2 linked regions of the Danio rerio genome follow. The protein of the gene in region 2 purifies or fractionates together with the protein of the main gene of each other region. This does not show direct contact. Links are inferred from orthologs where the notes say so. Each region holds a gene or a part of one and is shown on either strand. Other genes may lie near its edges.

The links.
Region 1: the proteins of llgl2 (region 2) and rad18 purify together in Homo sapiens (affinity purification with mass spectrometry; 3 studies listed by BioGRID and IntAct, counting the BioPlex papers as one, with this or other methods). This does not show direct contact. The link is inferred for Danio rerio from reciprocal best matches to the Homo sapiens genes LLGL2 and RAD18.

Annotation. Positions count from the first base shown.
Region 1 is NC_133181.1:44,379,894-44,383,726, reverse strand, and holds part of rad18 (E3 ubiquitin-protein ligase RAD18), read right to left. Parts: intron 639-3,833; coding exon 457-638; intron 1-456. UniProt on the Homo sapiens protein: E3 ubiquitin-protein ligase involved in postreplication repair of UV-damaged DNA. Postreplication repair functions in gap-filling of a daughter strand on replication of damaged DNA.
Region 2 is NC_133187.1:35,657,881-35,661,713, forward strand, and holds part of llgl2 (LLGL scribble cell polarity complex component 2), read right to left. Parts: intron 2,947-3,833; coding exon 2,799-2,946; intron 1,516-2,798; coding exon 1,365-1,515; intron 1,269-1,364; coding exon 1,152-1,268; intron 1-1,151. UniProt on the Homo sapiens protein: Part of a complex with GPSM2/LGN, PRKCI/aPKC and PARD6B/Par-6, which may ensure the correct organization and orientation of bipolar spindles for normal cell division.

The sequences.
Region 1 (3,833 bases), on a different chromosome or scaffold from region 2:
TGGTACATGACAAAACAGTGGGGAAAAATACAATCCAAACATAAGTTCAGTCTTCAAACAGAAACCATAGCAACATCGGGTGATAGAAAGAAAAATAGATGGTTTCCTGTGAACCCTTTGACAGCTCAATGAAAAGAGAGAAATTCCGTTCTGAAAGGGTCAGTGAGAAGGAGAGCAGTAACTCAAAAGAAACGTGAAGAATAAAACTACTGTATTTTTCTTTTCCCCCAGTGTGACTCCAGCACGTAAATTACAATACACCACCTACACTAGCTGGACTGAGTGTAAATTCCCAGTTAACACTTTAAGCAATATAGTATTGACAACAAACATTTTACAGTCATTAATGGTCATGTCAGAACATTTACTTGATTAAATCATAAGCATGCACTTTATTACCTACAGTATATACCATTATTCATTAAATTGTTTGTTCCTTCATGGATTGATTTATACCTGATTTAGGGTTGAGTGCATCACACTGGGCATTATAGATGTGCGTGAATTCTTGATGGCGTCTCGTGAGTTGCTCTCTGTTGCCTTGAGCAGAAAGATGGCATTCTTTAAGCATCTTCTTGAGCTTTGGCACAGTTATCAAAGTGTACAACAGCTTGGGCATTGCCTTTCGTCTTCCACTGCTGATACACAACAACACACAGAATTCCAGGGTCACTTCAAGAGCAAAAATAAAGAATAGTTCAACCCTCCCCAAAAAAAGAAAAGAAATACCTTTATATATTGAAGTTAAAGTCAAAATTCTTGGCCCAAGTGCTTAAAGTATTTCCCAAGTGCTGTTTAAAGGAGGGAAGCATGTTTTTTTCAGCATGTTTTTAAACATAACTGTTTTAATTTCTTTGGTCTTTGCCATGACGATAAAGCTGCAGTATATTGGAAAAATCAGATATTGTGATATTTCAGATGATTTTAAAAGCTCTCTTTGGGAAGATTTTATTTAGCTTTTTACCAACTGGGATGATCAAGTCTTTTTCTATGCAGTGCATCAGTATAAATTATAATAAAAAGGATTCTGCAGGTTTTAGCAAGTTTAATTTAAGACTTTAAAACATCTTTAAGACCATTCATTCATTTATTCATTTTCTTTTTGGCTTAGTCACTTTAATAATCTGGGGCTGCCACAGCAGAATGAACTGCCAACTTATTCAGCATATGTTTTACGCAGCGGATGCCATTCCAGCCGCAACCTATCACTAGGAAACATCCATACACACACATTCTCACTCATACACTACGGCCAATTTGGCCGCAATTCACCTGTATCACATGACTTTGGACTTGTGGGGGAAACCAGAGCACCTGGTGGAAACCCACACAAATATGGGTAGAACATACAAACTACACACAGAAATGCCAATTGACCCAGCTGAGGCTCGAACCAGCGACCGTCTCGCTTTGAGGTTACAGCTCTACCCACAGCTTCGCCTCATTTTTAAGACTAATAAGAATAAAAATGTAAAATTTGCCCTATCACACTTTTTTATAATTTATTAGTACAAAATTAATGTTTAATAATAAATTAAAAATGAAAGCAAAATATTTCATGGTGTCAAAACAAGAAACCTCTAGTTGTATACATAAATTTTTTTTTCAAAATTATCTTACTTTAAAATAAAAAAATTAAAAAAGTTCGAAAGATTTTAAAAACTATAATAAACTAAATGCATGCACAACAGTCCGTCCAGGTCAACTTTCTCAGCAGGAAATACATGAAAAATTTAAACAAGTGTTATTGTAAGGAAAATAATTCAACCATTATGGAAGTAAAAAATTACACTCTTAAAAAGTTAAAGTTTTATTGAGATGGTGTGTTATGGGTTGGGTGTTGGCCTGATTGGGTAGCTATACATGCACAAAATAAAACCTGTTTAAAAAAAAATTGCAAGACCTACAGCACAATATTTCAGTAAAGTTAAGACTTTTTAAGGCCTAAAATTTAGTTTTTGAGATTTAAGACATTTGAGGACTTTAAGACCCTGCAGACACCCTGAATATATTACAAACATATAGAGCAAAAATAAAAAAATAAAAAAATAAATAAATAAAACTGGGGGGTGTAACAGTATTCAAGTACTGAAATTGAACAATCATATGTAAATTAACATGGTAAACGTTTCATAAATAATTAAATACAAATATTTAATACTATATTTATCTTTTAATCTTTAATAAATAATCTAATCATGCAATGTGACTATTACAAACACGCACATTGCGATATCGATGCTTAAACAATATGTTGTTCAGCCCTACAACAGTACATACTATTTTTCAACTTATTATGCAAGATGCTAGTAACTTAACATGTACACGTGTGTTAATGTTTACAACAGATTTATGACAATTCACGTTGTCTTGGTAATGTCAAGTTGACATGATAAATACAAAAACAGGTTGTGATGCATTTGTTTATCAAGTTGTAATAAAACAATGTCATGACCTAACTGAGAAAATAACACTTGAACACTAAAAAAAAACAATAATTGTCATAAGGATGCATATAATCTCATTCACATTCATGACATGTTATGTCATAATTATAAAGGTGTCTTACGAACACCCCTTAAAGTAAAGTGTTGCTGAAAAGTAAATCTTTGTCATGAAAAAAAAAATATTATATTTTATTCAAACTGAAGGATCTGAATTTATTCAATCTTTGAACAAGGCAGATAATTGAGGCATTTTCAATATCTATTGCACATTAAATTAAGACAATCGAGGCTGTTCATTATAATGCTACCCATAAGATTAAGAGGTTATGAAGGCTATAAATGTTAGATAATTACATTTATTCTGCAAAATATTAACTATCAATGTTCTTCAATTAATACAGTCCATTAGCCAAACTGCAGGTCATCGAAGAAAAGCAGCAACTTGGAACATTATTACTGAACAGAACTGAAGTATACGCAAAAGTGTTGTATCAGCTGTTTTCAGGGAATCCAATTAAAACATATTGTGAGAACTCAACTCGTTTCATACCATGCATTTTTGCCCACTCTTTAATACAACTGTTGCACCACTAGCAATTTAGATCGAGGGTGACTTTAGGTCATAGCACAAATTTTCAATTGCGTTCGAGTCTGTGTCTAGAATACAAATGACTAATTTATAGTTATGCTGTGTAGTTTGTGAAGCAATTGTGCTGGAAAGTAACTCATATCTCTGGCAGAGTGAAACAGGTTCTCCACAAGGATTTGCATGCATTTGGTTTAATCCATGCTGGCCTTGATGCCAACAAACTTTTCAGTTTTACCATCTGAAAAAGAAATCCTCCCAACATAACACTGTCAACGTGGAAGAGTAGGTGTTATCTGGTGGATTGCATTCTGTGGAAAACACAGTGCTTTGCTTTCAGGTCAAAGAACAGAGCTCTTGTCTTACAGAACACTACATTTACTACAGAAATGTTCTGTCACATGACTTCCACAAAACTTAATGCTGGTCCTTTTCAGAAATGGCTTCATTTTAAAAACACTGTCCCGGATAGGTAAGGAGACAGCTGACCTACCATCCAAATAAACCCAAGAGATGCTTTTGCATGAAAATCCCAGTAGATCAGCAGTTTCTGAGATACTCAGACCAGCCTGCCTGGAAAAACAACCATGCCACGTTCAAAGTCACTTAAAACACCTTTCTTCCCCATTCTGATGCTAGGGTTGAACTGCAGCCGATCATCTTGATCATGTCTACATGCCTAAATGCATTGAGTTGCTGGCATGTGATTGGCTGATTAGAAATTTGCATTAACGAGCAGTTGGACAAGTGTACCTAATAAAGTGGACGGTGAGTGCAGATTATATTAAGGTATTACCATA
Region 2 (3,833 bases):
ACATTTTTTCTTTACTAACTAAAATATTAAAAAGATGAAGTTTTCATTCAACATTTGGATTTTGTTTTTGATTAAAAATGTCATGCTCAAATTATAACAGCAAAGGGATTTAAAGTGACAGTTAATTAGTGCTTTTAATCAGCACTGTAGTTTCGAAATATCATTGCTAAAATATATATTTATTTATTAAGTACATTTAAAAAACAGCCACATGACTGACCAAAGAGCTGTACATAAAAACCTACATATAGAGAAATAGTAATAAAAAAACAGAAATACAAAGCCTCTTTTAATGTTTAATCATTTCATCATGTTCATTAAATATGCATCACAAAATCTTTCTGGTATTTAAACTATTTAACATTTAAACTATTTAAACTATAATTGTATTACACATTTTCATGCTTGACCCAAATACACAAGCTTTGTTAATATGCTTCACGTTTTATAATATGTAAAATATAATGCACATTTTTTATTTAGTCTTAGATTAGTCTTGGCGGAATAAAGCTGCTATGTTGCTGCTGTTTTATCAAAGCAGCAGAGCAAGTACTGAGACTTCCTATTGTCAGCATGTTCACAGTCACACAGTCTGAAAATTTAACATACTGCTGCTGCAAACGCAATATACAGTTGAGCCCCCTTAGAATTTTTTTTTTACATTTTTTAAATATTTCCCAAATTATGTTTAACAGAGTAAGGAAATTTTCACAGTATGTCTGATAATATTTTTTTTTCTGGAGAAAGTCTTTTGTTTTATTTTTTTGTTTTATTTTGTTTTTAATTTTTTTAAGAACCATTTTAAGGTCAAAATTATTAAATAAATTAAATAAATTTAAATAAACCGGGATCTAATAATTCTAACTTCAACTGTATATGTGACTCCCCGTAGCAGATCTAAAAACATGTGAACCTGAATGTGAATGTTCAAGAACAAGCTTATTGGCTGCTAAGGTGACAGCAACCAACCACCTGCACCATGTAGATAATGATTCAGTAGCAGTCACAACAGTACTTTGTATTATTAAAATCAACAAAAAACTGTGCTCCTATTTGGCAAATTATTTTTGATACATTAAATATGATTTTACAGCTGAAAGCAAACAAAGAAATTTATTTCTGACTATTATTTCAGATTTTAGTTTTTGTACCTGCATGAGCCGTCACTGGATCCTCTGCCCTTCGTTCCTGTGGTGGGACACGGAGGACATATGCAAACACAGCTCCGCCATTGGTCCCTGCCCACAGTGAAGGTGTACTGTGAGAACCTGAGGAAAACAAGAAGAAGATTAAGGTCATCATATCAGTTATAAGACCCAAAATCTAATCCCAAATTGCAGATTAAAAAACCCTGTGGTACTTACTATCACTGACAAATGTATCTGCGAAGTAGAGCGTTCTGACGAGACCTGTGAAGGAGTCATCAGATGATCGGGCTTCAATCTTTCTCTGTACAGGAGCCAGCTCCATCTCCTGCAGAGCCTCAGCCTCCAGCCTGGCATTGATCTCCTGCAGCTGCAGAAAGATCCAGAATATTCATCATCAAGCCAGCACCACTGTTTCAACAACTCTGAAGTATGCAGCGCCAATCGCTACTGAAATAGCTCTTCATGTAACCCTCAGTTAGCATTCATAGAATATTTCCCAATTGTTCTCAGCTGTGTTTTAAATGTGAGGTAGATAATAATTGTAAAACCAGCAGTTCTCAATCCCAGAGGCTCTGCGCTGGTTGTGAAAATTCCAAACTGACCCAAAACCAGTGAATTTGATTGGCAATGAAAATTTGCAAAAGTAGTTCAACCGGCGTACAAAGAGCCGTACAAAAAATAATAATAGTAAAAATATTGGCACAGAAATGCATGTATTTTGGCACTGTGACAGAACCAAAGGTACTGGAAAGAGATTCACAAAATTGTTCTTGAATTATTGGAAAGACTTTTGCAATGTCTTAAACGGTATATGTCCTGAATTGTACAGTGCAACTCTGTCTTGATTGTGATGAAGATTGTGTGCTGAATTTTTCTATATATTGGGCCAAAAAAAAAAAAGTAAATTTTTATTATGGTCAACTGCTCAGGTCCGTTCTGTCAATATGTAGTTGAGCAAAAAGATAAAACTTTTGTCATTGAAAAAGTTATCTTATGATTTACATCAAAAACCAGAGGTATTTTGGCGCATTTGGTCATCTTTCAGGAACCTTTATAAGGATACTTCTCAGTGACTAGCCTTTGTCTTTCAAATTTTGGTTAATATCTTCATAAAAGTCTTCTATTTCTATTTTTGCTTTTAAGAATTTCATACATTTTAAGGACAATATGAATTAAATTTCAGACGTATACAGGGCTAAATTATAAGTTATTTTTTTTTAATGGTCCAATTGGGCCAGTGTAAATTTTTTTTACTTTCCCCATCAAAAAAATCTAATGAATTATTTCTTCTTAAATAAATAATTAAATAATGTGAAAATATTCTGTCAAATATCTTTTCTCAATAGAACATTTCTGTAAGCAAAAACTGTTACAGTTTAAAAACTGTAATAAACTTAATGTATGTAACAGTCTGTCCCGCTCAGCGTTCTCACCAGGTAGCTATAAATAAACCATATTGGCAAATACAGTTAATAAAACACTTGTTAAAAGTTTTATTGAGCTGGATTGTTGTTGATTGGATGGATGTTGGATAGGTTTACATGGACATGCAAATGAAGACCCGTTTAAAATGATTTAAGACCTACAACACAATATTTCAGTACATTCAGTGAATTTTTTTATGGAACAGATTAAGACTTTATAACCCACCTTGGCTGCGTTGTTAGTGTGGTGTTTGCGCATGGAGACTCGACTGCGGCGAATCCTGCGGAAGGACTGTCGCAGAGACTTTTTGATGGACTTGACTCGTGAAAGCGGCCCCTCCATAGCCATCTGGTCACTGGGGTTAAGGGTGCATCTATAAATGGACAGAAAACAACTATCAACACAGATAATAAAATAAGCAAGAACAAAACAACAACTGATAAAGCATGTGTCTGTAATTTTGTTAAAAAAGTGTTTGTAATTTGATAAAATGTGGGATCAAGTTTTTTTTTCTAGCACAACATAAAGGCTAATAATGTGGTTTAATTTCTGTAAGTCATATATGTCGCCACTTTCCCTCGTTTCATGCTTTTTTGAAACATTTTGTACAGATTATTGTTACATGATGGGTTTGTCTATCCATTTGCTTTTCTATGTCTGCGAAAACTATAATAAAAAAGTTTTCAAAAAATATATATTTCCCAATAGTATTGTATTAAAAACAAATATGTGCAGCTTTGGTTGAACATCTTCTTCTAGTCATACGACTCTTTTAAATGTGGAAAATATTAATACTAGAATAAATACACTTGACTTTTGCTGTCATATATTCAACAAAAATATGGTTTGAAGTTTCCATGTAAATGTTTTTCATTCAGATCATTCATACTAAAAGCCAATGTATCATGTGATAAGTGAGTCAGACAAAGAGCTGTTTTTTTCCTTTGACGAAAATATGAAAGTACGCCCTGGTGACAATACTATTTTTACTAATACCACATAGAACACTTCTCTTTTTGATGGGAATTTTTAGATTACTGTGATGATCACATTGGCACATGTATTCTCAATCATCACTACAATGAACCAGATAAAAAAAAAACTTTAGTCTAATATGCTGTATATTGTGGAGGTTTTCTTTACCTAGGCTATTTGTGCGGTACACCAACTGTCCACTTCATTCAGTTTCACAGCTTGTGTAAATAAACCACATCACTATAATTAGATGCCTTAACTCTTTTTTTTTTTTCTCACACAGTT